Mus musculus: one gene and its partners. The protein of the gene in region 2 purifies or fractionates together with the protein of the main gene of each other region. This does not show direct contact. Links are inferred from orthologs where the notes say so. Each region holds a gene or a part of one and is shown on either strand. Other genes may lie near its edges.

Region 1 (3,500 bases), on a different chromosome or scaffold from region 2:
GTATTTTTTTTAAACCAGATTTAAGATTTTTTTTTTTAATTCAAATCGACCCAAAGCAAAACTTACGTTACAAAGAAAGAACAGAATATATTATGATACAACACACTGGGAGTTACATGAAAGCTAAATTTGTGGGCAAACAGCCTTGTCCCAATTCCACCCTGGGCTAACAGGTGATTCAGTAGGGAAGTTAGAAACTCTTTCTCATGGTCCACTCTGGCCATTAAGCTACGCTTTCCTGGTGTCTTACGAGGGAGGAGTCTGACAGGTCATGCTAGTCTCCCCCATGCTTTACAAGCGACTCCAGCCACTGCCAGAGTGCTGACCTCTCCAGCAGAATCGTCACTCCAAGCATGACTGGTAATGAATTAAAAAAAAAAAAAACAAACAATCAAGTCACCCAAACTAATAAGCAGGGGTTATTCTGTAGTAAATAGTTTAGAAATATGGGAATTAAATAATCTAAAAAAACACTCTTAACTCTGCTGTACATTTATAAACACAAATATTTACAAAGAAACACCCTTGTTTTCAAAAGATGAGGTTTGCAGTTCGTTAATGATCATATTTTATGAGCTGGTTTCTTTGGTGTATTCGCCAAATGCATTTTATAAAGTTTTAGTAATAGGCTTAAATAATAAATTTCAAAAGAAGCGCAAAAGACTCAGTGTGAATTTTGAGTCAACGGGCTGTGTTATGAGGGGCTGTTTTCTCTCCTAGGGCCACAGACTGCTTCTCTGATAACAAATTCAGGGGCAGACCTGCATGGTCACCACAACCACATCAGCAACTGGACAGCCCTTCCGTTACCATAGAATACAGCACAGGACTGGGGTCTAGTATAAACAAAGGACATTCTCTCAAGCTTCCAGATAAATCAAACCACAAACAATAAATAATGGAATTATACACTTCTTCATTAAATAGAATTTTCAATTCCTGGAAGAGCACTCAGAATTGTTTTTGTTTTTTTGTTTTTTGTTTTTTTTTCTGAAGTCACAGCAGTAAACAGCACAAAGAATTTGCCTTAATATGATCTTTTTATTTGGGATCCCCTGATTCAATTCGATTTCAGTGGCTTAGTTCAGAACCCTCTGAATGGCTGGAAAGTGAATGTCACTTTTAACTTACAAAATAAATTAATTTTCATGTATGATTCCTGTGCAACTGGACACTAATATGGCAGCTCAGAGTCCAGACTCTCAGCTCTCCTCCCACCACTTTCCATGCTGGGCTGGGGCTCTAACACAAGTTACACTCAACTAATTTCTGGTCACTTTGTGTCCCTAAGGCTGGTAGTGTGTCTCCAGCCCTGACCTGGGGCCTGAATAAAGACTGAGAACACAGCTTTGCAGGTGCCTTAGAAGGGGACTCTCCATGGAGGTAACCTTTCAGCCAGGGTCACCACAGCCATCCCTATCTTCCTGGGTCCCAGCTATCACTCTGGCCTCATGCTCTCCCTGAAGGAGGCTATGGGCCACATCAGCAAGTCCCTGAAGCATCCTTTTGCCTGTTCAGGAATCCCTGTGCCACCTAGGCACACGCAAACCCAATGTTCTGCGGTCACAGCTACTCTGGCCAAGACGGCAAGCTTTGGGCTTGAGTGAACAACACTGCTAGCCTGAACTCAGGGAAACCTAATTCTGCTTAATTATGTTAGGAGGGGAAGACTTTACCCTCTATGCCTTCAAACTGGCAATTCTGACAAGAAAGGAGAAGCCCTTATCCTGCAACCTTTTGATAGCAAATTTATTAACAGTTTATAAATATTTAAAAAATTTGTCACAGCACTAAGAATGGCATGGGGAACTTAAAAGGGGGTGTCTTCAAACTAACATAACGTCAAATGAAGCAGTGAGTGTGTGTCCCCAGGAACACCCATGATGCCTAGGGCCTCTGGGCCCTCCCCCTTGTTACTAACACTTTACTACATCCGGGTCTTTCTTGCACATACTTGTCCAACCAACCCAGAAAATTAAAATATTTGTCTTGAAGAGCTTTACTGTACTCACCTTCAAAATAGACAGGAAATACTTAATTAGCGTATCAGCAATTTGCCAGGCTTACAAAAGGGTGCCCATTAGAGACTTTCCCCTTAAAATATATATGTATACATATTACCAGGAAGGCAAAAAAATCCACCAAGAAACCACCCTGAAATATTTAGTCATTAAAGTAGAATGGTTTAGCAAGAATGTGGGCTATTTCTAGGGACCTCTGTCATCACCAGAATATGAAATTTGTTCTTTAAGGTGAAATAAAACACAAAGTTTAAGGTGGAAACTGAGGTGATCCTGGTGGCCTGCTGTGGGATGGAGGTGGTGATGATGGCTCCAAGGGGCACAAGGAAGCCAACTGAAGAACAGGAAGAGCAAACCATCCAGAGACGACACCAAGAGAGTTGCACAAGAGGCACCATTTTTTGTTTTTGTTTTGTTTTTTAAAAAACAGAATACACTGGCTTTAAAAAGTTAATTCCTTTCCCCATTGATTTTGTTTTAAAAGCACAATTCAATAAGAGAGGGGGTGGGGGAGTTGAAACACAATGTTTCAGGGTAGTGTCTTACAGTTGTTAAAAAAAATAATTTAAAAAAAAAGCGCACACCAAAGGAAGCCGAGGTCCTGGGTTGGTTTTTTTCATCGGAAAGCTACATTAATTAGAAGGGAAAAAGGATTTTTAAACAGCTCATCTGTACTCATTAAAAATGAATGAGGCGACAGCATTACTGTAAGTTTCTTCACAGAGAATTTTCCAGCATCACCCAGGATCACAGGAGGTGAGCCTGAGACCTCCAAACTTTAAGAAGTATTCCGTCTACTGGTTCCTAGTACCGTGTTCACCAATGAAACCAGAGCATCAAAAGGGAAAATTCTCTGCTTCAAACCTGTCTATATTGTGCACTTAGGAAAAACAAATTTTCTAAATGCAGTATTGTATAGAAAGGCTTGGACCTCATCGACTTGGACCAAGAAACCAAATTAAGACCTTCAAGCGTGGGGTGTGTATGTGTGAGTGTAGACACACACACACACACACACACACACACACACACACACACAGATCCCTCCCCCAAATGAAATCCAAACAAACATAAACCTAAAAGTGTATACCTGCTTTCTGACTTGACCGCAAATCAGAAATTGCATAGGATATACTTTGTGCAAGGCCTGAAGCCTTTTAAGTATCTGGAATAACTCGTAATCTTGTCCACAGTCCAGGTGTATCAGATATCATCAAATTTGTGTTTTAAGTAGTCTTTCATGACCTTGGCAATTGGTAGCTCATCAAGCAGCTTCAGGTTTTGAAGGCCTATACACTGTCGAATTTTAATTCGGCACAGGTCCTGCAGGGTTCTGGGCTGTCCTAAAATGACAGAGAAAAGAGAACGTTACAGAGGTACAAAGCATTGGAGAGGGAGGGATGTGAGGGAAGGCATTGTCTGAGGAAGGGTCTACTGTGGATCTTACAGTCAAAGGACTGACCGAGATTCTCAAGTGTC
Region 2 (5,550 bases):
CAGAGTTTAGAATACAAACATTTTGACTTTAAGTACTACGTACATTCTTTATATCCAAATCTGTAACCTTTTCCCATGGTTTAACAGGGTCTCTCTATATAAGCCATGGCTATGATCCCCCCATCTCAGCCTCCCAAGTGCTATTTTTCACAGGACAACATTTGGCTCTACAAAACCTTCTTTAGGGGAGTACCGTCACTTGAGCAAAGGCAGTAAGTGTTCAATCCCCAGCACATAGAGAACCTAACCTTTTAAGGAAATTCATTCCTTTGCTCTTCTGGTGCCTCTAAGAGGCGGTGGCAGTGACATATGAACAGCCCTCTGTCAGTCACTTAAAATTGCTCTTCCAAGGAAACCAGTCCTGCCTCCCAAAACAAGTTTTAGAAGTGTGAACTCAGCTGGGCAGTGGTGGCGCACGCCTTTAATCCCAGCACTTGGGAGGCAGAGGCAGGCAGATTTTGGAGTTCGAGGCCAGCCTTGTCTACAGAGTGAGTTCCAGGACAGCCAGGACTACACAGAGAAACCCTGTCTTCAAACAAACAAACACAGAAGTGTGACCTTTTTTGAATTGGATGGTGGGGAGAGCTGGTGGTGTGGGTGGGGCAGCTTATGAGGTGGTGGGGACCACGTGACACAGAGGAGCTCACTTCACACACCACTGTACAGCAGGGAACTACTCATGACAAACGGAAGCACTGAACTGCTCTTTATATATTTTATAGTTTTAAGATAAAAATCACTAATATGTAATTACAGACATTAAATATCATTTAATTACTTGGAGAGAAACCCTGCTTAATGGTTCTGGAACCCACAACTAAAGTGCCTCTGCATGTTTTTTTCCTGGTAAGAGAGTATGTACGGAACTCAGGGATGGCTGTGCAGATGAGGGCTGTCTTGCCAGCAAGGGGGCGGGGAACAGAACTAAGCTTGTTTCACTCCCCCGCCCCCCTCTACCCTCAGATCCTGACCTGTAGCAATAAACAGGGCTTTGTTATGAGTCTCACTGGGTGGAACCCTCCAGAATCCACTTATGAACTGTCAAAGCCACCTATGAACACGATGGGGGACTACTCTCTTTACAGCGAAGCTAAACACCTGGTTCACACTCTATGAATAGTTAATTACACAATGACAGGCACATTCAAATAACTGAAAACATTTGTATACTTTTAGTACCTAGAAAAATTAGAAAATATTTATCTGAATGCCTTTAGTGGATCTGACAGAAGCAAAAATCTCAGAGAAACCAAATTAACAAGAGCATAGGCGAGGAGGCAGCGTAGTGCGCACCTGTAATCGCAGTGATTGGGAGGCTGGGCCGAGGCCTGAGGCCAACCTCCATTCAAGTTCAGTCCAGCCAGGGCAGTGAGGGGCGGTCTCAAACCCTCCAGAATTCTCAATTTGAATTTTTAGAGTCTCTATGAGTATTTGTCCCCATGTATGTGTATCTCCATGTTTATATGGGCACTCTGTACATGTAATGCCCACAGAAACCCAGAGGATGATATTGGATTCCTTGGAACTGGAGTTACATAGTTGTGAGTGGCAATGAGGGTGATAGAAAATCTGGGTCCTTTACAAGAGTAGCAAGTGCTTTTAAACTGCCAAGCCATCTTCCCACCCCTGATTTTCTTCAGGGTTGGGCTGCCACGCCCAGCTCTCTCACATGAGTTCTAGGGACTGAAGTCTGGTCCTCTGACTCACATAGTATTTTACACACTGAGATATCTTCCCAGCCCTACTGGAAGAGTCTGATAAAATTTTTGTTTGCATGTTTCCAAGCAATTTTTACCGCCAAATAAAGAGCATATTAATTTTTTCAAATTATTTAATTGATGAATTAGTTTAATGATTTTAAGAGTATATATCAAACTTTAATAACTCAAAGCACAATATTTTATTAAAACATTGCATAATGAACTTCAGTGTTATACTAGTAAGCATTTTCCTACTAATATTTTGACTAAAACATACAATACAACCTTCGCAAAAACAGAAAACAGTTCTTTAGAACTAAGTGGTTGAACAATCCAGGCTTCCTGGCCAAGTCAAAGATGGAGAAGTCAGGAGACAAAGCCGTTTACCCGACAGTTACGCCATATTACAGTTTACCCGACAGTTACGCCTCTTCACTGAGTGCAGGTTAAAATCCTCATTCACAGCAAATGAAGACAGCAGGGTGGCCTCGCTTGCCTCTCTCCCAACACAAAAAGGATTAGGAGGAGTCGGCTTTTCAATGCATTTTATTTGTTACTGTAACATTCGTTTATCTATTTTTTAACCCTCAAGCATAAACACAAACAATGTTCTTCTGTGAACACAATGTTCCCACAGTCGTGGGTACAGATAAACAAAGATCATTTTCTGGTGTTCTCGCTCTTCTATGCATTCGTATCACACACACACACCAGAGGTAGGAAAGGCCATTTTTAACAAATTATCTTAATTGTAGAGAATTTCCCAAAACTAAACAGACAAATTAATAAAGCAAGCCTTTGGTGAGTCTCAAAGGCGCACAGCATCCTCTCTCTCTCAAGGATGAATCCCCTGCAGTGTTTAGTCTTTGTCCAGGGTCAGCAACCACACCAGGAGCGCCTGGGCCACCTCTCATTTGCCGATTCTTTGGACTACCCAGTCCTGCTGGCACAGAGGGCAGCGATTGTTCTGTTTCACCCACAGGGACATGCAGCAGTTGTGGAAGGAATGGTTACACTCTCCCCAGACCACTGCAAGAGAGAGAACAGCTGAGTGGGTGGCTGGGCCTGTGATCTGAGCACCAGGCGGGAGGGGCTCAGACCCAAGCCACTTGTTACAAAGCAAGATCTGTATTAAAAATCAGACAATGAAACAAATGTACAAACAAATCAGCTGACAAGACAGTTTAATTTAAATAGCTAAGTTCAGGGGGACAGGAAGTTAGGAAGGGACACATGGAGGGGATGTCAGGGGAGTGGTAGGGGCGAGCAGGGGGTGGGCAAAATCAACATATATTATATAATTATATGCTTATATGAAATTATCAAAACAAAAATTGTAAATATTCTAAAATTTTAAATTACTAAATTCTAAACTATAGTTTAAAAACTAAGAAAATAGTCATGACTCGTAATTCTGAGAAAAGTTGGGTAAGTGATCAAAACATGTTTTTTTCTATTTACAAAAATATTTAATGTGCCACTGTGTTTTGGGGGTGAAGCCACAATCCTAGATCCTAAATAGCTCCACTGTCTTAAATTAGGAGATTAAAGGGACCTGAACCTGCTAGAATCCCAGACCCCTCAGTCATGGGGCAGGCATCCTTAGGGATCTTCTGTGCTTTTATTGAAAAGCATCCTTCCTGGTTTTCATTTACCAAGATAGTGTTTTACAACTTAGCGTTGGCTATTAGAAACAGATGGTGGGCAGGACCATTAGCAGCTGTATACCCAGGGAGCTGCTTTTCTACAAGTGAGGAGTCATGCTAAGCTACCCAGCGTGGTGTGTGCACACCCTATGGTTCCAGATCACTGAAAGGCCAGCCTTGTCTACAGAGCAAGTTCCAAGTCAGGGCCACACAGTGAGACCAAAACCCCAAACCAGGTAATCAAACCAAAAGCCACCATGCCAGCAAGCGGTGTAGCACTTCATTTCACAATCAGATTTGCAGAGTGGCTGGAGAGAGGCATCTCTCTGAGCAGAGTTCTTTGCTGAGACAGAGCCTTGCTACACATATAGCCCAGGCTCCCTAGAACTCACTACAGAGGCCATGGTAATCACCCTGCCTGAGTCTTGCTTGCAGGGAGCTGGGATTACAGATGCAAGCCACCATGATCAGGTCTTGAAATGTTTCTTCTTTCCCTCCCTCTATCCTCCTACTTCCTCCTTTTCTTGTGTGTTTGAGACAGGGTTTCACTGCACAGCTGACTGGCTGAATTTGCTATGACAGACCAGGCTAGTGTTCAACTGGCAGTGATGCTTCTGCCTCTGCTGGGGTACAGGTATGTGGCACCAGTCCTGGTTCGGCAGTTTTCTTAATAGGAGATAGTATTTCTTTTTGCTTAGCAAAAACATTTATTATGGCTGGACAGTGGTGGCGCACGTCTTTGATCCCAGCACTTGGGAGGCAGAGGCAGGCAGATTTCTGAGTTCAAGGCCAGGCAGGGCTATACAGAGAAACCCTGTCTCGAAAAACCAAAAATAAAAAAATAAATAAAAAAATATGACCATAAATAAAATATATAACCAAGTCTTAATTATAATAAAAAAAGAATTTGCAAATCTATTTTATTAAGGTCTTTTGAGAAATAAAACATTTTATTATTTATTAAAAAGATGTTTTACCATGAGCCTTCTGTTAGAAGACTCCCTTTTAGTTTTAATCCTGATTTTGTCTTTAAAACTATTTTTATAATTGTGTGTACAGGACGGGAGGGAGGGGAGGTGCATGCCACAGCTTCATGTGCAGGTCAGAGGCCTTTGGGAGCCATCTCTCTCTCTATCTTAAATGGGTTCCAGAGATCAAATTTAGTTCACAGGCTTGAGAGGCGAGAACTTTTGCCTACTGAGCCATCTCCCCAGCCCCTAACATTTTATATTCATAATTAATCACTGCTTTCTGATTTCTGGTTTATTTTTTATGTACTGATAAGCCTCCACCCCATCCCACCCCTCCCCCAAAACAGGTCTCAATACACAGCAAAAGCTGGCCTCAACCTTGCCACTTCTGGATTTACAGACCTGGGTTACCACAGCGAGTTTAATAAAGCCAATTTTAATTGGAAATTCAAACATTCCCACAGAGACAGAAGAAAAACCTTGAGTTGCAAAGGCAGGAGAAAGAACGACCACGCACCAACACAGTCCTCTTGCTTGTTTTCAGCTTGACATCGAAGGCAGGCATCTGAAAGTAAACAAAGCCAATCTCGTCTCTAGTTCAGGAGGCCACTGAAGACCCAGACCCTCAAAGCCAAACAAAAGCCCCGAGGATCAGAGATGAAGAGAAGTCTTATAATATTAACTTCTCATCTAAAAACAACTCTTTAAAGAGAAATAAAATAAATGGCATTCCACAACTCACCACGGTTTTACAAGGGCAGTGATGATGTTACAAGTTCTTATGACAAAATAGCTTGGCAACTGCACTAGAAGAAGTCACCCGAGACAGAGATGCCAAAAAGGTTATTGCAAGACAACAGCTTGCTCACACACATGGATCAAAGTCAGGGGTATTTACTTTCAAGATACCACTATAAGTAAGCCATAACGGTATATTGATTATTTGATTATATACACACAGGATCTAGAAGAATACTACAGGAACTACTAAAGATCTTGTTTTTGAGATCGGGCCTCATATAGCCCAGTTATCCACTAACCTGAACTGCCACACTTGGACGATCAACCTTAAAATCCTGCCTCTACCTTCTTCAAAGTTTGGGAATCACAGGCACATGCCCCAGCCCTGTTCAGTAATGACGTTTCCACATATACTCCCTTCATTTTTAAGCTATGTGACTCTACTTGAAAGTTAAAGGCTTTTTCTAGTTGTTTTCATAAGCAAAATTCCTT
Region 3 (7,176 bases), on a different chromosome or scaffold from region 2:
AGGAAGCAGAGGCAAGCGGATTTTTTGAGTTCGAGGACAGCCTGGTCTACAGAGTGAGTTCCAAGAGAGCCAGGGCTACACAGAAAAACCCTGTCTCGGAAAAAAAAATTTTTTTCCCTTGAGTGGGGCTGGAAAGTTTGCTCAGCAATTAAGAGTACCGTTGCTCTTGAGGAAGACCTAGGTTTGAGTCCCAGCACCCACATGGTATCTCACAACTGTCTATTATAACTGCATAAGGACATCTGATGCCCTTGTTTGGTACCAGGTCTGGCACATGGTACACAGACATACACTCAGGCAAAATACCAATGTGGTACCTGCTCCTTAGACCTGTTCTGAGTTCAATCCCTAAATGCTCCACAAGGGTGAGAGAGAAAACCAACTCCCAAAGCTGTCTTTTTTTCCCCTTATTTACTTATGTTTTTTTTCTTTCTTTCTTTCTTTTTTTTGGTTTTTCGAAACAGGGTTTCTCTGTGTAGCCCTGGTTGTCCTGGAACTCACTGTCTAGACCAGGCTAGCCTTGAACTCAGAAATCTGCCTGCCTCTGCCTCCCAAGTGCTGGGATTAAAGGCGTGCACCACCACACAGCTCTATTTAGGTATTTTTGAGACAGAGAATCACTATGTAACTCTGACTATCCTAAAACTCACTGTGTAGACCAGGCTGGCTAGAACTCAAGAGATCCACCTGCCTCTGCCTCCTAAGTACTGGGATTAAAGATGTGTGCCACCATGTCCGGTAAAAAGCTGTCTTTTGACCTCTGTATGAGGACATACACACACCATTAATAAATAAAGTACTTAAAAACTCCCCCTGGCTGGGCAGTGATGGTGCATGCCTTTAATACCAGCACTTGGAAGGCAGAGGCAGGCAGATTTCTGAGTTCAAGGCTAGCCTGGTCTACAGAGTGAGTTCCAGGACAACCAGGGCTACACAGAGAAACCCTGTCTCAAAAAGCCAAAACATAAATAAAAAAATAAAAATAAAAAACTCCCCCTGACTCTGTCACTTAGAGAAATGGAATTCAACCCCAATGAGAGGCAGCATGGAGTAAGATTCCCATAAATGGTGTTGACCAGTGGGTCACTAATCTGACACCACAGCCCTGCCTGTAGCAGGGTCTTCACAGCATGCTGGGACACAGGCACATTATCCTCACTCTCTCAGGTGAATGCATCATCTGATGCCACAGACATCTCTGTAACCATCAAATCCCAACATTCTCGGCAATGCCCATCGTCAGCATCACTCCACAGCTTCCTTCATAAACACTAACTCCCAAAGGAACAGAGAAATGAAGGAGCACCCATGGACCCATTAACAGGCCATGAGCATATAAACCACAATGGATTTTCCTGAAGGATCCAACACTTAGGAGTCTTTGTATGAGCTAGGACGAGATATAACTGTCTTACAATGCCCATATCACAAACAAGGACAGTCTTGTGTGCTGTAGTAATAATGTTTCCTGGGTTCAAGGGTAACTACCCAGTTGGCTGGCTTGAGGCCAACAGGGACCTATCATCCCAATGCCACATATCAGAACCAGAGGCAAATTTATTTGTTTTATGCTTGTGTGTAAAGGCTGTTCCCCACCCCCGCCACACCCCGCCCTGTCCTCTCCCACAGCTGAGACTCCACAACGCCTTTTCTCTGGAGCATAATTCCACCATGCATGCCCAGATGAAGCTCTCTGAAAATGTCCTGTTCCATCCAGAGAGGAGATCACTGCTGCTGGGCACAATCACTGTTGTGTCTTCAATGCCCTGATGTTTCTAACTCCACAGAGACCCTAACCACAAGTATTTAAAGCACCAGACCAGAGGACTCCTGCAGACGCTGGGCATGTGGCCACAGTACTGTCACTGTTTCAGGTGTCAGTGCTAATCAAAGAAAAAAAAAAGTCGTTTTGATGACTCACATGTTTGTAAAGTCAGAGAGAGCGATGTTCACACCCAAGGAACAAGCTAGACCAGACGTTGAGACAGGTAAATAACCCAGCTGGGATCAAGAAGGAGATCAGGGGCCAATATGGAGCAGCAGACTCCTTCCCAGGTGGGGACTACCCTGCTCAGAGGAGCCCTGGACCTTGAAAAAAACCTAAAAGTGAAAATGAACGTTCTCTTTCTGTTTTCCAGACATGGTTTCTCTGGGTAGTCACGGCTGTCATGGAACTTGCTCTATAGAACAGACTGGCCTCCAACTCAGAGGTCTGCCTGCCTCTGCTCCCCAGCACAGGGACTAAAGGACTACACCACCAGCACTTGGCTGACATGCAGAGGATGTTTAATAATGGTGAGAGAAAGGAATCATGCGCTTATCTACTTAGAGAACGAGAAGTCCAGCTCTTTCAAACAGTAAATACACACTGTGCGCACACTCCAGAACCAGCTGCTTTACCACTGCTAATCTCTTCTCTGAGGAGGCCCAATGCTCTGACCCAAAGGCCTGATATCTGTGCTGTATGCATGTCAACCCAGCATGAGAACCATGCTGTTGAGGCTGTTTGCCTCTGTGCTTCACACTGCTGGACCCACACGGGCCGTACAGCTTGTGCATCGTGAAAGCACTGGGTGGGTGAACAGTGCCCATGGTAAGTCTCACACCTCTGTACTCTTTATGTGCTAGTGGCCCCACTTCGGGTAGCACGTCATAGGAAATCTGGCAAGACTCCGTTGACAGAGGAGAGGAGGAAAGAGGATCCAGCAGGAGGCTGTGTGGATATGTGGTTGAAGCTGATGGGGAAAGGAAGAGTGGAGCAGGGACAAGCAGTCTCTCCAAAGCACAAGTTAACACTAAGCATTTCTGAAGCCAAGCCCAGCCCTTCCCACACTCCCCCATTGGAAAGGTAACCCCCCAAAGCCTTTCTGAGCAGGGCTGTCACCCTGGGACGCCCAGTTAAATACCAGTCAAGGCTGCCTGGCTGTGCAGAGGTCTTTTCACATACCCTGCAAAGTAAAACCATGACTCTTCCTTTCCTGCGCTGAAGATGCCTGCTGTGAACTGAAGCTGAGAGGTGCTTGGGGAGGACTTACAGAGAAGATCCAGCGCTACTGTTCAAAAGGAAGGGTCCTCCACTGATGTCCTGGCAGTCATCACCCTTGACAAGTCCTAACTGCTAAGAGTGGTAGATGTCTTACCTACACACTCAGCTGTTATTTACCAGACCGCCAGTACTCAGAGCAGTAAGACAGGGCTAACAAGACCCCAGAGAATGAAGTAAAAAAGCAGAGTAAAAGGGACTCGGGAAGCGACCAGGAAGGTAGAATTAGTCCAGTGATATAAGATGACAGGCCCACTGCACATTAATTCCTCCGGAGTCAGCAGCCCCTGTGATCCAATCCCACCCACTGTTAGCTACGATTTTACCTTAAATATCTAAATTAAGAGGCAAGCTCAGGCAAGTGCCAGTGATGCAATCTACCTTGTGTATTTTTTGCCATGCACCCGGAAGTTAACAAAAATCACATCGCAGCAGACCTATTTTCTCCCTGCACAGGGTGCGGTGTCTCTGAGCAAACCCCTCCGGCGGCAGTGCGGTGAGCACCGGGCCCGTCGTGCGGTATCTGCCGCGCGGCCCATTCCAGGCCCTAATGGACTCCAAAGACCTGCTGCTGTGACTTCTTAGTAGCCACCAGGACCCGCGCCCGCTTGCCGACGGCTCCTCAAGGCAGGGCCAGAGGATACCGCAGCGACACGCGCAGAGGCCGCCCGCTCCCGCGACAGGCCGCTCCCACCTCGCGCGCCCACAGCCAACCCCGGCCTACCGTTGCTGTAGGCGTACGGGGATTCAGCTGCGCCGTCCTGAAGGCTCTCCAGGATCTCGCCTTTGCCCACGTCGCTGTCGCCCACCAGCAGGAACTTGAGCAGGTAATCGTAGCTCTTCACTGGACTGCCCTGGGTGCCCATCCTCCCGCCCGCCGCACCGCGGCCCACGGCACCGCCGCCAGACCTGCGGGCGAAGGCTGGTGAGCGGCCGTGCGGTCAGGACGCTGATGCTCCCGCCCGCTGGCCACCGCCCCCAGTGCACCCGCCCCGCTGCCGCCAGCTTCACCTCAGCCTCCTAGCCGCCGCCGCCGCCGCTGCCGCCGCCGCCACCCGCCGCTTCCCGCACGGCACCGCGCAGCCCCGCAGCCCCGCCCCCGGATGCGCCGCCGCCATTGGCCACCCTCCGCCGGCCCTCTCCGGGCCATTGGCCTGGCAGCCTGGCCGTCACGGTCGCCCCGCCCCCACGTCGCCCCACACAAGGTGCCGCCCAGCCCACGGTCGCCCCGCCCTGCCCACTCGCCACTGCTACTGGCCCGCTGCCACCCTCTTTCTCACTTCTGTTGGTCTACATGCTTGTCTATCACTGAAGTCCCGTCCCCGCTATTTCGTACACAGTGTTGCTGAGGCTGGCGTTTTTCCCCGCCTCCTCGCTGTGACCATTGGCTACTTCCCACTGATTTTCCGAAATCATTGGTTGCTCTTGCATGTCCATCCCAACCCCTACTGCTTCCTGCAGGATGCCTCAGAGCCATAGTAGCCGGGCACCGACCTGCAACATCCTGGCCTCCCGCCCCCTCGTCATCACCATTGGCTACTACTGCTAAGGCATTTGTGCCATCTAACATCGATCATAACCTCCTAGGCCCACCCCTTTCCTAATTCGGGCCAATCAAGAGTCAAACATTACACAAGTCTACCCTTCCCCCCTCGTGGACAAGCGGAAGGGTAGAGATAACTCCTGCTTCAGCTGAGTCCCGGGAGGAGGGTGTTGGAAGGGGGCAGGTTATCTATCAAGCTGCGTTGGCCGGCCGCTCTCACAGAGACCCAGAAGGGAAGTAACAAAGTTCGTCGTACACTGTGGGGCTCGCCTTCCCTGAGGGCAGGGCGGGGACAGCCACTTAGTGTTCGCCCTGGAGGGGCAAGCCTCTCTCCCTTGTGGGCTGTTCCAAGGGGTGGGACTTCCTCCTGGCTGCGGAGTGGGCGGGGCCGCTACTGAGTGTTTTGGCACAAGGATGGCGGCTGAAGTCCACCTCTGAGCTGTCTCTTGTGGGGGACATCCTTCCCAAAGCGGATCCTGAGGGCTTGGACCAGCGACTGAGCAGCGTTGGCCCGGTGAACTCCAGGATGGGCAACGCATTGCATGTGCACACTCGGTCGGCCAGCTCCAAGGCTGGAGGGCCACGGACAGCGTTCTTGGTTAAGAGTGCATTCACAAGTCACATAAATAGCAAAAAATTTAAAACGTAAAACATAAGCCGGGCGTGGTGGCGCTCGCCTTTAATTCCAGCACTCGGAAGGCAGAGGCAGGCGAATTTCTGAGTTCGAAGCCAGCCTGGTCTACAGGGTGAGTTCCAGGACAGCCAGGGCTATACAGAGAAACCCTGTCTCAAAAACCCAAAACCAAACCAAACCAAACAAAAAACAAAAAAAACCGTAAACATAGATTGGGACCAACGCTCTTGCACTGTAAGCCTAACAGTATGAGTTCGATCTCCCTCCGGTGACTGACCATCTGTAATCTCCATCTAGCTCCGGCTCCTATAATAAGAAAGAAAGGAAGTAAAGATAGGAGAATTTGTCCAGCAGTTCAAGAGCTACCTGGCCTGGTGTAAGCCCATTTTAACAGGGGGAAAGGCTGCAATGACTTCTGAAAGTTATCCTCTGACCTCCACATACCTCCACATGCTGCAGTCACACATATACTGTACCTTGGAACAGTTTTTACACAAACTTCCTGAACATTGTCAGATAATAGATAAAGTGTGTGTGTGTGTGTGTGTGTGTGTGTGTGCATGTGTGTGTGCATGTGTGCACGCAGAGGACCCGGGTTCAATTCACACATGGCAACTCACAACTGAATTCACACATGGCAGCTCACAACTGTCTGTAACTAGTTCCAGATCTGACACCCTCACACAGACAAATGTGCAGGCAAAACACCAATGCACATTTAAAAACAAGTATAAGAAACTGATAAAATGAGGGATTGGATGAAGAGTTGGTTTAGAAGTTCAGAGCACTCGTTGCTCTAGTAGAGGATCAGGGTTCAGTTCCCAGCACCAACTTGTTAGCTCACAGTCATGACTCCAGTTCCAGGCAGGGATCTGATGCCTACTTCTAACTTCTCCAGGACCAGGCACATTCTTGGCACACTTACATACATGCAGGCAAAACAATGAGACACATATATCATTAGAAAACAGATGGCAAGCAGGTGTGTTGATATGGTGAAAAGTATTACCCATAAAAAGGTATGAAGACTGGCACAAGAATGAATTTTTTAAAGGACTTTATTTATTATATGGAAGTACACTGTTGCTGTCTTCAGACACACCAGAAGAGGGCATCGTATCCCATTACAGATGGTTGTGAGCCACCAGGAGGTTGCTCAGGACCTTCGGAAGAACAGTCAGTGCTCTTAACCACTAAACCATCTCTCCAGCCCCAAGAATGAATTTGGACAGGGCATGTAAATCCCAGTACTGGGAAAGCAGAGGCAGGCCAATCTCTGAGTTTGAGACCAACCTGGTTTACAAAATGACAGTCAATCAGAGCTTGTTACACAGAGGAACCCTGTCTCAAAAACAAAATGAAACAAAAAAACCAAAACCAAAAACCCCAAAACTCTGTGATGGCAGAAGTTTATAAGCCCAGCTGCTTGGGATGTTGAGACAGGAGGCCAAGAAAGGATAACATCAGTGCCGACTCGGTGCTGCTCCTTCACATGACCACTGAACACAAGTCTGGGCAGTGTGCCACCAGTGATGAGGTGCCCGCTGAGCACAGATGTGTCCACAGCTGACAGCTCTCCTGGCTGCTGGGAAGGCAAGGACCTCCTCCTAAGCAGGTTAGGTGGGTGACACACGCCTATAGTCCTAATACTCGGGCAGGAGGATTGCCATGAGTTCAAGACCAACTTGAGCTACATGACAAATCCAGGTTTACTGAAGGTACTGGATAGATGGCTCAGCAGTTAGGAATGGTTGCTGTACTTGGGCGGGATTGGAATTTGGCTCTCAGTACCACAGCACATGACCACCTATACAACTCCATGGTCAGGGGATCCAATGCCCTCTTCTGCCCATCTGAGCACCTGTACTCACTCACAGTCATGTCAACAATAGACAAGCAGGGTGAAGCTGAGTTGCCATGTGTGGTGGCCACAGAACTTGAGGGAGCTGTGACTGG
Region 4 (6,532 bases), on a different chromosome or scaffold from region 2:
GACCAATGGGGCCTTCACTGGGGAAATCAGGTGAGATGGAGGCAGAGAGGGATGTAGAGGGAAAACCTTCCTCGTGAGGGCTTCTTGCCGAACTTTGGTGTGTGTTTGTTTTAGCCCTGGCATGATCAAAGACTTAGGAGCCACCTGGGTCGTGCTGGGGCACTCAGAAAGAAGACATGTCTTTGGAGAATCAGATGAGGTCAGTAAACAGGAGGGGAGATAGGGGATGCTTTGATCCTGGGGGAGAGGGTATCTTACCTACCTAGCATTTGTTCTTCAACAGCTGATTGGCCAGAAAGTGAGCCACGCCCTAGCAGAGGGACTCGGGGTGATCGCCTGCATCGGGGAGAAGCTAGACGAAAGGGAAGCCGGCATCACCGAGAAGGTCGTGTTCGAGCAAACCAAGGTCATCGCAGGTATCTCTGCAGACACGGCTCTCTGAGTCTAGCAAAGGCCACAGGGATGGAGGCGGGAGGTCAAAGGTCCCACAGCCTGCCTGAGTCATACTGACCCCGGGGAAAGAGGGCGACCTGAATGGTTCTTGTCACTGTTCCTACAGAAGGCTCAAACCCCACCTTCAAAAGCTAGCAGGGTCTGTGGGTAAAGCCTGAGGCCCTGAGTTTGAGTCCTCCAAAGACAGCCACGTGGTAGGAAAGATCCAGCTTCTACAAGTTGTCCTCTGCCCTCATATGTGTGCTATAGCTTGTACACACGCACGCGCACACACGCACGCACAAGTTGTTTCTAAAAGGGGGAAGGAGAAGCCCACCAGGGGCTGTAGGCCATAACTGTTATAACAGGAGAGCTTGGCGGGTCAGCTCCTTCCTACTCACTCTCCTCTCTGCCCCACAGATAATGTGAAAGACTGGAGCAAGGTGGTCCTGGCCTATGAACCTGTGTGGGCCATTGGGACTGGCAAGACGGCAACCCCTCAGCAGGTAACTACCCAGAGCTCCTCAGCCTGTCCGGCTTTAACAGACTCACACAGCTATGGAGCCCATCCAAGCCCCTTTAGAGACAGAGGGCCCCCAAACTCACCAAGGAGAGTGACTTTGCCAAAAATGTTCATTCCAAGCCTGGTGGGATTGGAGCCTTGCCACTCTCTGGTCCCGGGGCTTTTCTGGAAACTCAACTCTATGTGAGAACCAGTGGTTTTTACTCCTTGAATGATAGATAGGAAGGAGCTTACTTAGTAGCTCTGCCTCCTCCTTCTAGGCACAGGAAGTACACGAGAAGCTCCGGGGATGGCTGAAATCCAATGTCAATGATGGGGTGGCTCAGAGCACCCGGATCATTTATGGAGGTGAGTGGCTTTGGCTCTAGCTAAGACGGAAATGGGCTAAGACAGACTGAGGCTGCCTTGCACAGAGAGGTGGGGCTTAAGTGTTCTGATCATAGACCTGACCAAACTGTCTTCTTGTTCCTGGTACAGGTTCTGTGACTGGAGCAACCTGCAAAGAGCTGGCAAGCCAGCCTGACGTGGACGGCTTCCTTGTGGGTGGCGCATCTCTCAAGCCTGAATTTGTGGACATCATCAATGCCAAACAATGAGCACTGCCCATCCCTCTACCTGCCTGCATAGCATGGACTAGGTTGCCCAGAAGTTTAGTAACTGCTCCCACCGGTCACATGCTTCTGATGACATCATCTGCCCCATCTTGTGGCCTAATCCACGCTGTACCCTCCTGAGCCGTTTCCACCGCCCTATTATGGTTGGGACCAGGCCAATCCCTTTACCACTTACAGTGGGTAGAATCAACTGTCACCAAGGTGGCTCCTAGTGAGGGGAGGGAGTAGAACTGACTGTCCCTTTGGGCCCTGACAAGTGAAATCACCTTCCATTGGTTTGGGCTGGAAACTCATGGTTGGAGCACAGGAAGTGGGCTTCGTGTCACTTTGGCCTGTCACTTAGATGGCCTTGGCTCTAGCTTCACTCCCAAGTTCTACTGGATGTCTGATGCAGAAATTCAGAGCTTTCGGGTCTGAATTCGGTATACATGAGACCCTAAGAGGCCTGGGATAGTCCCCTCCCCCACGGTGCCAAAGCCCCTGTATTGTGTTTGTGAACCATCCTACATGTAAGGGAAATAAACACCTGGGCCTGAGCTTTGTGGGTTGTCATAATTCCTTAAGACAGTGATGGGGCTCTAGCCTGGGGTGGGGGAGTGTAAAACAAAACAAAAAACAATAATGAAACAGGTTGTGACAATACATCTCATTTTTTACTTCAAAAACCTCTTTGTCCCAGGCTGCCATGGTGTTTAATATCATTTCTATATGTCTTGCTCCTGTGAGAAGGGGAGGTGAAGGGGTCCAGCCCCCCCCCCCCAGCTTCACCAGCTTTTTAAAGTTGTCTAGGCCAGCGGGTGCCTCTCCACCTGTCCCCACGGTAGGGTGCCAGCACACCCTGTACTACTGGGTCATTTGTAGAGCAGATAGCGCTTCATGGCAGGGGGCAAAGGCAGAGTGGATATTTGACCCAGCCGGGTGTCCCCCAGAGCATGGCGCACACACAGGCGGCTCAGGTGCAGAAGGGATTGTGGTTCCTCCACTGCGGAGAGAGAAGGAAGACAAGGTAAGTAAGCAACTCCAGGCATCCTTGAACTTGAGATCCTGCTCAGGCACCCTTCCTTCTTCCTCCATTTCCACCGCCACCTCAGCTGAGGGAGACCCAAAGGCTCTGAATTTGTGCATCACATCCAATAGGGATTGGGAGTGAAGCTAGATCCAAGGCCATCTAAGTGACAGGCCAAAGTGACAAGAAGCCTACTTCCTGTGCTCCAACCATGAGTTTCCAGCCCAAACCATTGCCAAGAGTAGTGATCTCCCCACACCTAGTCCGTATCTCACCTCTTCTTTCGCCCATGTAGCGGATGCGGACCTGGCACTGGCCCCAAACAGCACTTACAGAGGGATAGAGGGTCCTCCCCTTCAGTCCACGGAAGGCTGGTCCCAGGTACGTGCCCCCAATAGAGTAGCCAAGAGTCCCCTCCTCCATGTCCAGAACCACCAGCAGTCTCTCTGGCACCACTAGCTGCTCACCCTGAGGTCCAGCTGGATACTGGGGGGCCTCGAGGCCCTTACTCTGATGATACAATTTTCCCCGCCCAATATCCCAGCCCCAGGACTCGCTGTTGCTGCCCAAAAGCGCCGCATAGTGGTCAGCCTGCAGCGGGGCGAGGGCGGTGGCCACGCCCACCACGGCGTGTGTGCCCCTTTGCTCCAGGGGCCAGCTGATCTCCCAGGCGTGCAGACCTCTCGAATAGCCCCGTTTCCCCCGGACTCCATCAGTGCTCTGGGCCACAGGGCGCCGCTCAAAGCACAGACCCCCTTCCTTGACATCGATGTTCTCGGAGCAATCCTTGGGGTTCCAGCCGTGGTGCCGTTGGGCAACCAGGTCAGGAGGGGGAGCAGACAGGAGCTCCTCCAAGCCCTCGGGAGGAGAGAAGTCCGAGTACAGAGCCTGCGAGGTAGGGGTGCTGCTGCTGCCCCTTGCCAGGGCCGTCTGGCCCATGAGGAGAGCCGCTGAAGAACTTCTCAAAACAGGCTTGCTGGGGCGTCTCGCTTTTGAAAGTTGAGCTCCGGATCGTCCCCTGGAGTGGTGTGGAGACAGAAAGGACTGTTAGGCGCATCATCTTTCCCTAGGACTCCCATCCGTTCACCGGTGTATGCCAACCAGCCTGGTCTTCCCTTGGTCCCCTAACCATCCCAGGTCTATCACTCTGCTTTCACCCTATCTGTGTCGCGCCCCCCAAGTTTCTCAGGAGCTCTCTCTCCCTCAGACCTTACCGTGAACCGTCCCCTTGCTGGCTCTAACGCCGGGCCCCTACCCCGCACCTCACTGTCCCCCTAGCTCGCAGAGACCTCTGTGGAAGTACAGATAGGGAAGGCTAGAAGCGCCCCTGACCAGCCACTGCTTCCGGCTCCAGCGGGGCTGCGGACGCCCGCCCGCGCTCCGCCCCTGGGCTCTGTGGACGATTAACCCTATCGTCACCTCCCAGACCACGGCGGCCACACCACTTACCGCCTTGAGAACCCACCGGCTACAAAGAATCCAGGCAAAAAATAAGTGACGACTCCAGACGTGGACAAGCGCGCATGCTTTGTGGAGCACACTCTTTGAGTGGGTAACCTCTTGTCCCTCCCAGGACTCCCTGGCGTCAGACTCTTCAGCAGTTTATTTTTCCAAAGCCACCTGACAGCTGCGTGCCCCACCCTCCCCCCCATCCCAGACTAGAATTAACCCTTTGATGACGTCATCGCCTTGGATTCTGTGTGTGTGTGTGTGTGTGTGTGTGTGTGTGTGTGTGTGTAGACTTCTCCACTGGAGACCTTTGCTCTCTCTGCCTGAGCTAGTCATTCCTGAGGCCCTAAGATCAGTAAGCGGCCTTGACACCCTTCCTGAACTCCTGCTCCTGTGTTCAGGAGAATGTAGGGATTGAGACTACTGTCCCCTGCGGCTCCCTAGGTTGCTGAAGCCTTAGTCCTTCATCCTCCTGCTTCAGCCTCCTGAGTAATGGAACTACGAGTGGGCACGCTGTCTGGTGGATGTGTGCTTTAAGGGTTAGTTTTGAGTGTCGTTTGATCATTAGCTACATTATCATGGAGAGGTTGCTGTTGAAGTTTGACCTCCTCGAAAGCCTCTTGATAACAGTTCAAAAATCCCAAAGTGGCTGGGCAGTGGTGGTGCAACACCTATAATCCCAGCACTTGGGAGGCAGAGGCAGGCGGATCTCTGAGTTCAAGGCTAGCCTAGTCTACAGAGTGAATCTATGCCAGGGCTAGACAGAGAAACCTTATCCCAAAAAAATCCCATAATGCCACCGTGTGTGTGTGTGTGTGTGTGTGTGTGTGTGTGTGTGTGTGTGAGAGAGAGAGAGAGAGAGAGAGAGAGAGAGAGACTGTAACCTCTGCTGGCCTAGAACTCCCTATGTAGACCACGTTGAACTCAAACTCACACTGATCAGCCTGCCTCTGCCTCCTGAGTGTTGGCATTAAAGGTGTGTACCCTGTGCCCAGCCTAATTTTAACCTTGTTGTTGTTGTAGTTATTGTTGTTTGGATGGCTTTGAAATAGTCTCTTGTAGCCCATCCTAGGACAGGACGGGCTCTGTAGCCAAGAGCTGGTCTTGAATCCCTGTTTCTCTTAGCTCTGCTTTCAGATGCTAGGATTCTAAGGGTATGATTCATACCCGGCTAATTTTAACTTAATTCTGATGTGAGGCTGCTGAAATGGCTCAGCAGTTAAGAGCACGGCTGCTCTTGCAGAGGACCCAGTTCAGGTTCCCACTCCCAAGTGGAAGCTCACAAATGTGCATAAGTTCCAGTTCCAGGGAGGTTGGGTGTCTTCTGAACTGAATGTGGCATACAAACTGTGCTGTGTAGCCTTGTGTCAGCTTGACCCAGAACCTAGAGTTATCTGAAAGGAACGAACCTTAATTGAGAAAATGCCAGTTGGACATGGTGCTGCACGCCTTTAATCCCAGCACTCAGGAGGCAGAGGCAGGTGGATTTCTGAGTTCGAGGCCAGCCTGGTCTACAGAGTGAGTTCCAGGACAGCCAGGATTATACAGAGAAACCCTGTCTCAAACAAAAACAAAAACAAAAACAAAAACAAAAACAAAGAAAGAAAGAAAGAAAGAAAGAAAGAAAGAAAGAAAATGCCTTATAGCCAGATCTAGTGGTGGCATTTTCTTGAGACAGGGTTTCTCTGTATAGCCCTGGCTGTCCTGGAACTCACTCTGTAGACCAGGCTGACCTCAAACTCAGAAATCCACCTGCCTCTGCCTCCTGAGTGCTGGGATTAAAGGCCTGCGTCACCACTCCTGGCTTAGGCATTTTCTTAATTAGTTATTGATGTGAGGTTGGGGGTGGGGCACGGGGGAGCCCATTGTGGTGGTGCCATCCCTGGGCAAGGTGGTCCTGGATTCTATAAGAAAGCAGGCTGAGCAAGCCATGGTTGTATATATTTAAATCCCACACTATTAGCCCTAATAAGCCAGCTTTTCTTCCAGATTGATTTTTTTCCCCTTTTGGTTGTTTTTCAAGATAGGGTTTCTCTGTGTTAGCCCTGGCTGTCCTGAAACTTGCTCTGTAGACCAGGCTGGCCTCGAACTCATATATCCGCCTTCCTCTGCCTTCCGAGTGCTAGACCCAGCTTCTTCCAGATTCCAGATGGTTGGGCTGCCTTTGATTGGGTCCTGTTGTAAAGAGACAAGGTACCTTAGTGTGATGCATCCTAACTGAAAAAAAAAACAAAACAGATCTAAGCCACACAGAGAAAGTCCGCACTGGGCTCACTGGAACCCCAGTTCAGTTTCCATCTGACAAGCTGGCCACACTGCCCTATTTAACCAGACCCCTGTTGAGTTCGTGTGCAATATGTCTGTTATAAAACTCAACCTTTTATTCTCAGAATAGACTATTCCAGTTTTTACAGACTTATACGGAAGGTTTAGATTCAGTTAGCTTCAGCCTCGCCAGAACTAAAGCGCTAGTAAAAATGGGGTGGTGTGGAGGGGAGACTAGAACAC
Region 5 (7,081 bases), on a different chromosome or scaffold from region 2:
TTTATAATTTAGCCACTTTAAATTTATAGTTATGACTATAAGTAAACACAGTATAACCAACCCCAAATCTTTTCATCTTTCCAAACTCATGTTGTCCCATTAAAATACTAACTTCTGGGGCTGGAGAGATGATGCACGGTGGAGCACGGGCGGAGCAGGGTTCAGTTCCCAGCACCCAGCACCCAGCGGTAGCCTCCCCCAGCCTGAAGCGGGCTGGTACAGACCTTGTCACCACTGAGGTGCGGCCACCTGCGGGGCAGCTTTCTGACTTGGCTGGCTCCTTTTGAAGTGACAACTTCCCTGCTCTTTCTTCTGCTACCTGCCGAGAGGCTGAACCTGTCTTCCTGAGACATTCCTGAATGTCTGGGTGACAATCTGAACAGCCTGGCGACCAAGTGCTGACAAAATGGTTCTAGGCACCAAGAATGGCCTGGGGGGGGGGGGGTGGAGGTGGGGGTGGGGATGGGCCTTCCCCCTTTATAAGCACACTCTCTTAGTAAACTAGTGGGCCTTGATCAGAGAAAAATTGTCTTGGCTTCGTTATTCCTTTCTTGCAGTCTAAGTCTCTTTCAGCCCCAGCCTGCCTTCCAGAAATACCCGGTTCATGTAGGCTGAGGGCCGGCTTACTCCACCCAGCACCAGCTCACCACTGCGTGTCAGTCCAACTCCAGGCTATCTAATCCCTCTTCTGTCCTCTGAAGACACCAGCACACACATGGTGCTCCCAGCACGCACGCACGCGCGCGCGCGCACGCACACACACACACACACACACACACACACACACACACACACACACACACACACACACACACTTTAAATAAATATAAAAATAATTCTGCCAGCTGTGGTTGTATACTTTCCCAGCACCTGGGAAGCTACTGCAGGTGGATCTCAATGAGTTAAGGCAAGACTCATTTACATATCAGCTCTGGGCCAGCCAAGGGCTAGTAAGATCTTGTCTCCATTTGCCCTACCCCACCCCCAAACCCCTTTTAAAAAGTATTCACTTCCTATTCCTCCTGAGATAGAATAGAAAGGCAAATCATGGAGGTATGAGGAGGAAGAGGAGCCCTTTACCTTTACTGAGGAATTTGGTTGAAGCCTCTTGCCAACAGAGAAGCAGGAATTCCAGCACAATTAACTGCTTAAAGCTTTCCTCCCTCCGCACTTATGCACCTGCAATTTTCCAGGACTCTCACTAGAAACTTTTACAGGAAATGGACATGCACAAAACTCATGCAATCAGTGGCTCCTGGCTTTATCAGATTATAATTCCATCCAAGGTATGTCTGAAGCCACCCCATAATCTCATAGACACACACACAAACACGAGAGAGAGAGAGAGAGAGAGAGAGAGAGAGAGAGAGAGAGAGAGAGAGAGAGAGTGTTAGTTTCTGAGTACTCTTGAGATCTAAGTTGAGAGCCATCAAAATGGTGTATATAGTAGCTAGTGCTAAGGATTGTGACTCCCTTGAGGAGCTATACTTGGGTGTGTCTTCCATAGTACCTCTCTTCTAAGTCTTTAGGTTAAAGTCTAATGTTAAAGTATTTTAAATAAAACCTCAACATTGCTTCCATTAGTCTTAACAAATTTTTTTTTTCCCGAGCCAAAGCAGTAAGTCCAGTTTTGCTTGAGTTTTGGTCTCAACGAAGTTCTCAGGCTAGGGTGACAGCCTGGAGTTTTATCTCTGTCCCCTCACCCGTGACACTCCCTTTTCTGGAAGCAAACTGACACCTACTATTCCACTCTGTTTCCGAAGCTGATTCCTTTAGTGACCTATGTGTGGAAGAGTGCATTATTTGTTCGTTATTGCTGGCTTATTTCACTGAGCAGAGATCCTCCAGGGTTGGCCATGTTGTAACCTGGGGCAGAGGCTTTTTAAAGGATATATGGATGGCCACGACACCACATTTTGATGCGCATTTGGGTGGTTTTACCCTTGAGGTATCCCAGCCAGGGATGTGCAGCCGTGGAGCAGAGCCATAAGGCTGAGCCACCTCTGGCTCTTTGCCTTGCAGCGTCATTGGTGTCACCTGTCCCTCGTGCCAACGGTGTTATCAAGACCAAACACCACTGCAGGAATCTCCCCGCTCCCCTCAAAACCCTCAGAGCCCGTGGCTCTGTTCCAGGATGCCTCACACAGCTCCACAGACCTGTGCAACTGAGCCAGTCTGGGCACGAGGATTTGTTGGGCACCTATAGTCGCTAGCTCCCAGCTGGTGTGCCATGACCACACAAAGATGCAGACAAGTCACAGCCGCGGTGTTGGAGACTGTGGCCTTGCCTCCATCTCACAGGACAGCGGGGCGCTTCTGTCTCCTTAAGGCGCGGTCTCCCCCCGGTCCACTGGGGTCCTCCCCCTGCAAGGTACCTTCCCTAAGTTGTGTAGAGGAGAATGAAAGGACCCGACAGCGTCCATGCTTAAGAACTGTTCGTAACGCAACGCACACAGTGTGACCGATGTAAAATCGGGAGTGCTTGAGGGAAAGCCACTCTGTCAACACGCCTTGACCAAGTTACAGACACTATTGGCTCCATGGAGACATTCTGGGCTGCCTTCGTCTAACACAACTTTGCAAGTCACCGACTCGGAAGGCACCGTTTGGAGTCTCGTAGAAAGGACAGCAGCGCAGCCCCACGTCACTCAACACCCTTCAGCCGCTGCGATAGCGGACCACAGTCCACTGGGCCGTAACGGTCCCGCCCACGTCCCGCCCTCCAGTGGGCGGGAACAGAATCGACCAACCAGGAGTTCCTGAGGCATGCAAATAAGCCTCCGCCCCCAGAGGAAAGGCGTTTCCCCAGAAGCTGCTGCTGTTGCCTCGGGAGACGCAGTTTGGTCAACCCCGCTAATCAGCAATCAAGTCCGTTAGCCAGGCCGGAAGTGGAGACCCCAGCACCCTCCGTCCGGAGCAGGAAGTACGAAAAGGAGGCTCATACTCCCCGGAAGCCGAGCCCTGGACACGCCCACCTGCCGGAAACGCCGGCGGTGCTTCTCTGACAGCGTTGCTCTCTGACAGGATTGCTGCGGAGGTGGACAGGCGGCGGGGTCAGGGCGGAGGCTGAGGACCAAGTAGGCATGGCGGAGGGCGGGACCGGCCCCGATGGACGGGCCGGCCCGGGACCCGCAGGTAACGTGCGCGGCTAGGGGTAGTAGGGAGCGGGGTTGCGTCTTGGGGTCAGAGTGTCCCTTGGGCGTCCGGGACTCGGGTCCTCGGTCCTCGCAGGCCAGATCCGAGGAATCGCGCCCGGGGTCAGTAAGTGTGGACGTTAGGCTCCGCGCGGCCCTAGGCGCGCGCCCCCGCTCCTGCCTGGCCTCTCGTGGACATCCCTCCCACGGAGGTTTCTTTCTGGTGGAGCTAGCCTTGTAACTGCCACCCTGTTAGCCCATCCCCGTCAGCGATGACCCTGGCTGGACCATGGGGTTCGGATCTTCTTCCAGGTATGAGCTCACTGGTCAGTAAGGGCCCTCAGAGGTCAGCCTTCGTGCGGACAGGTTCCCTTTCCCCATCCCGCCAGCCAGTCAGCGCAGTAGCTACTGGACAAACGTCCTCCGCCCCACCTCCACCCACCTTAACGACAGTGCTGTCCCCAGAGAGCTTGCTAGTGCCACAACTCTTACAGGGGCGCTTGACCCACCTGCAGAAAAAGGGTGACACTTGCCACCTGCCTTAAAGCTGCTCCACTTTGCAGTGCTGCTACAATGGAACTAACAATTCCCAGGAGAGTTTCCTGGTACGGCGTCCACCTTGGGGTCTTTCTGAACCTGCTGGTAGGTGTTTGGTAGGTGTGCTTCTGCACCCATCTCTGATTTTAGAGTTCACTGAGCTCTCTTCTGTATGCAGAAAATCTGAGAAAGCCACAATGTTGGTACAGTCTCTTGTCATTCCTCCCTCCATCAATTCAACAAACTTTGTGGATGATGTCCTATTGGCCTGACTCACCTGGGGCTATCGGGGTGACATGAAAAAGCAAGGCAAGGCCTCTACCACCAAGAGCTTTGGTTGTCATTGAATTTGATCTCAGGGACAGACAAGATCTTTGAGTGGATTGACCTGTCATGCAGGAATGAGAAATGGGAGAGAGGTGGTTGGTCAAAGGGTAGCTATTTCTTAAGGTACAGAATAGTCCTGTGGAAGAAAAAGTGGTTTTGCACCCCACCCCGACCCCAGTGTTGTTTTAGTGTCTGTTCTGTTTGTGTGTTTCCAGCTTGGGTAGAGGCACAGGTCTTCAGTGGGTAGTTGGATTAGATGATCAGAGAAGTCCGAAATTGAAATGGCTTTCGGCTCTAGAACTGGAGGAGATTCTGAAGGTCTGTTGGCCTGGGCTGGGAGTGTAGAGGAGAGGTGAGCTAAGGGGGTCCAGAGACTTTCCGAAGTCCTCTGGTGCCAGCCATTTTCCTAACAGTTACCCGGTACATCTGAATCCTCCCCAACTCTGGCTTTAAATTTTTATACTGTGCTGTAGTTACAGTGATGAAAGGAGGACCTGGAAGCGCCTTACAGATCCATTTCCAGGCTAGATAGATGCCTGCCTGTTGGTCTGCTGTGCACCAGAGTGAACCGAATAGGTTTTTGTGAACCTTGTGCTGCCTTGGTCTCAGCCCAGTCAATGGACTTTCAGGCCGCAGAGGGCAAGGATACTTAGTCGTCACCACCGTGTACCTATAGGAGAATCTGTAGGGGCTCAACGGATATTGTATTCAAATATGGAAACACATCAGCGACTAGAAAAAGCCTGCCTGTGAAGGGATATGTTTGGTAACATGCTAGGACATCCCCACAGGGTGGGAGACTTGAATCCAAGCAGTTAGAATTTGTGCTGTCTTTATTCACCTGTTGGTGCAATGCTTTTAATAAAGCTTTTCAGTCTCCTGGAGTTAGTTTGGGCTGTGATGTGAGCAAAGATGTATTTCCAAGTAGGTGATTAATTGTTCAACTACTTTCCACTGGCTGTATGTCTCACTCTGATTTTATGCCTGCTTATTACAGTTGAGCTGTTTATATTAAGATTAAAGTCTTCCTGGAGAATTGATTCTGCTTTTTGTTTTTGTTTTCTTTCTAGTCTGGTGAGAGTTTTGTTATCTAGTATGGTAGGGTTCCTTCCACCTGTTATTCTTACTAAAACAGCAACAAAAGCTATTTTCCCTTATGTATATCTACAAATACAAGTTTGAAATCATTTTGGTATATCTGATATCAAATTTCTGAAGAAACTGGATACATTATATTTATAGGGAACCCTGAGAATTTCTCTAATATTGAATCTCATCCTAGTACATGATACAGTCTTTCTATTCACTTCTATTTTTTTTGTTGTATAGGTTGGACTTGTATTTATGCACATATATTTTAGTTTTCTATTTTATTGAGGTATGATTCTCTCTCTCTCTCTCTCTCTCTCTCTCTCTCTCTCTCTCTCGTGTGTGTGTGTGTGTGTGTGTGTGTGTGTGTATGTATGGAGCTCAGAGGTCAACATTTAGTGTTTTTCTTACTCCACCTTATTTTTGAATCAAGGCTTATGTATTTGGCTAATCTAGCTGCCAGCCTGCCCAGGGATCCATGACCCTAAGCATCCTCCAGTCTCTGCCTCTCCTACCCACGTTGGAATGGTAGGGATGTGTAACTGGTCTTGGCTTTTTATCTTTTATATGGTTGTTGGGGATCTGAGCTTCAGGGCTTATATTTGTGTGGCACACACTACCAAATGAGCCATCTCTCCAGACTCTTGAACTGTAATTTCTATACAAACAAATAAAGGTATACCTTTGAGGCTTATTCCTTGTTATTTCATTTTCACTGATACAGTAAACTCCCTGAGATAGTCTAACTATAAAGAAAAGAGATGTGTTTAGTTCACAGTCATGAACACTGTGGGGACAGTTGTACTCTGCTGAATTGTCTCTTATCAAGACACATTGTGACGATTTTACAGAGCAGTGTGGTATGGAACTCATTCACCTTCCAGGAAAACAACCCTTGCTTGGCCCTTGGCTTTTGGCTAACCAGCTATTTTTACAGTAAAGGAGATGACTACCATTCTCCTTTCAAATGCCCCAATTTAAACATCTTCTTACATACATGATATAAATTAGAGTAATTTCATGCTGGGTTTTTTTTTTTTGGCATAATATTTCAAACTTCAGTTTGTACTACTGTTATATTTTTCCTTGTTCAACAGACCATCACATTTTTTTCTTTTATTTTTTTTAGAAAAAAAAAATCTTATTGGGTTTGGTGTCAGGAATGTGCTAGTTTAAAAAGGGAAACTTTCCAGCTTTCTCTTTTAAATTATTTTCTGGGAATTTGAATGTTCTCTGTGTGGCTAGCAGGAGGGAGCCACTGGAGAAAGGCAAAGCATCCTGTTTGGTCAGCCTTGCCAGTGTTTCCGCACCCTGATAAGAGCCCCTCTCTTCAGTGCAGGTCCTAATCTGAAGGAGTGGCTGAGGGAGCAGTTCTGTGACCATCCACTGGAGCACTGTGACGATACAAGACTCCATGATGCAGCCTATGTAGGGGACCTCCAGACCCTCAGGAACCTACTGCAAGAGGAGAGCTACCGGAGGTGAGCATTGGGCCGGTAATGGGTGTTGGCCTGTGGGCCTGCAGGAGGCTGAGGCTTGTGCTTTGGATTGCAGAACAAGACTCTGATGCTGCAGGACTGCAATTTGCTTTTAGAGGAGGGACAAAAGGAGGAATTATAGGTGGCCAGATGCAGTGGGCAGGGGTTCCTGGAGCCAAGTCTGCCTGGAATTGTTCTGGTAACTTGTCCTATGTGAGCATCAGTTTCCTCAATGTTTTTTATTTTATTTTATTTTATTTTATTTTATTTTATTTTATTTGAAACAGGATCCCACTCTGCAGCCTTGGCTGTACCAGAACTCATTATGTATACCAGGCTGACCTCAAAGTCATAGAGATCTTCCTGCCTCTGTCTCCTGAATGCTAGGATTAAAGATGTGCTCTACCATGCCTGGCTATTTTATTTATTTTAATTGTGTGTATATGAGGTGTGGGGTGGGTATCAGCATGTGAATATAGGCAACAGAGGCCAGAAGAGCTCTTCCATTTGAACTGG

The links.
Region 1: the proteins of Rnf7 (region 2) and Asb7 purify together in Homo sapiens (co-immunoprecipitation; 4 studies listed by BioGRID and IntAct, with this or other methods). This does not show direct contact. The link is inferred for Mus musculus from reciprocal best matches to the Homo sapiens genes RNF7 and ASB7.
Region 3: the proteins of Rnf7 (region 2) and Rab40c purify together in Homo sapiens (co-immunoprecipitation; 4 studies listed by BioGRID and IntAct, with this or other methods). This does not show direct contact. The link is inferred for Mus musculus from reciprocal best matches to the Homo sapiens genes RNF7 and RAB40C.
Region 4: the proteins of Rnf7 (region 2) and Spsb2 purify together in Homo sapiens (co-immunoprecipitation; 3 studies listed by BioGRID and IntAct, with this or other methods). This does not show direct contact. The link is inferred for Mus musculus from reciprocal best matches to the Homo sapiens genes RNF7 and SPSB2.
Region 5: the proteins of Rnf7 (region 2) and Asb1 purify together in Homo sapiens (co-immunoprecipitation; 3 studies listed by BioGRID and IntAct, with this or other methods). This does not show direct contact. The link is inferred for Mus musculus from reciprocal best matches to the Homo sapiens genes RNF7 and ASB1.

The regions. Positions count from the first base shown.
Region 1 is NC_000073.6:66,644,562-66,648,061, forward strand, and holds the end of Asb7 (ankyrin repeat and SOCS box protein 7), read right to left. Parts: exon of another isoform or gene 3,365-3,500; coding exon 3,225-3,364; 3' UTR 4-3,224; downstream 1-3. UniProt on the Homo sapiens protein: Probable substrate-recognition component of a SCF-like ECS (Elongin-Cullin-SOCS-box protein) E3 ubiquitin-protein ligase complex which mediates the ubiquitination and subsequent proteasomal degradation of target proteins.
Region 2 is NC_000075.6:96,469,124-96,474,673, forward strand, and holds the end of Rnf7 (RING-box protein 2), read right to left. Parts: intron 4,883-5,550; coding exon 4,835-4,882; intron 2,730-4,834; coding exon 2,611-2,729; 3' UTR 1,814-2,610; downstream 1-1,813. UniProt on the Homo sapiens protein: Catalytic component of multiple cullin-5-RING E3 ubiquitin-protein ligase complexes (ECS complexes), which mediate the ubiquitination and subsequent proteasomal degradation of target proteins.
Region 3 is NC_000083.6:25,915,598-25,922,773, forward strand, and holds the start of Rab40c (ras-related protein Rab-40C), read right to left. Parts: upstream 4,118-7,176; 5' UTR 4,055-4,117; intron 3,953-4,054; 5' UTR 3,910-3,952; coding exon 3,768-3,909; intron 1-3,767. UniProt on the Homo sapiens protein: RAB40C small GTPase acts as substrate-recognition component of the ECS(RAB40C) E3 ubiquitin ligase complex which mediates the ubiquitination and subsequent proteasomal degradation of target proteins.
Region 4 is NC_000072.6:124,806,288-124,812,819, reverse strand, and holds Spsb2 (SPRY domain-containing SOCS box protein 2), read right to left. Parts: upstream 3,903-6,532; 5' UTR 3,790-3,902; intron 3,594-3,789; 5' UTR 3,515-3,593; coding exon 2,851-3,514; intron 2,552-2,850; coding exon 2,421-2,551; 3' UTR 2,204-2,420; downstream 1-2,203. Other genes in the region: Tpi1 (triosephosphate isomerase), read left to right, coding at 1-30, 115-199, 284-416, 853-938, 1,216-1,303, 1,433-1,551. UniProt on the Homo sapiens protein: Substrate recognition component of a SCF-like ECS (Elongin BC-CUL2/5-SOCS-box protein) E3 ubiquitin-protein ligase complex which mediates the ubiquitination and subsequent proteasomal degradation of target proteins.
Region 5 is NC_000067.6:91,537,730-91,544,810, forward strand, and holds the start of Asb1 (ankyrin repeat and SOCS box protein 1), read left to right. Parts: upstream 1-2,835; 5' UTR 2,836-3,083; coding exon 3,084-3,135; intron 3,136-3,161; exon of another isoform or gene 3,162-3,406; coding exon of another isoform or gene 3,407-3,446; intron 3,447-6,421; coding exon of another isoform or gene 6,422-6,426; coding exon 6,427-6,568; intron 6,569-7,081. UniProt on the Homo sapiens protein: Probable substrate-recognition component of a SCF-like ECS (Elongin-Cullin-SOCS-box protein) E3 ligase complex which mediates the ubiquitination and subsequent proteasomal degradation of target proteins.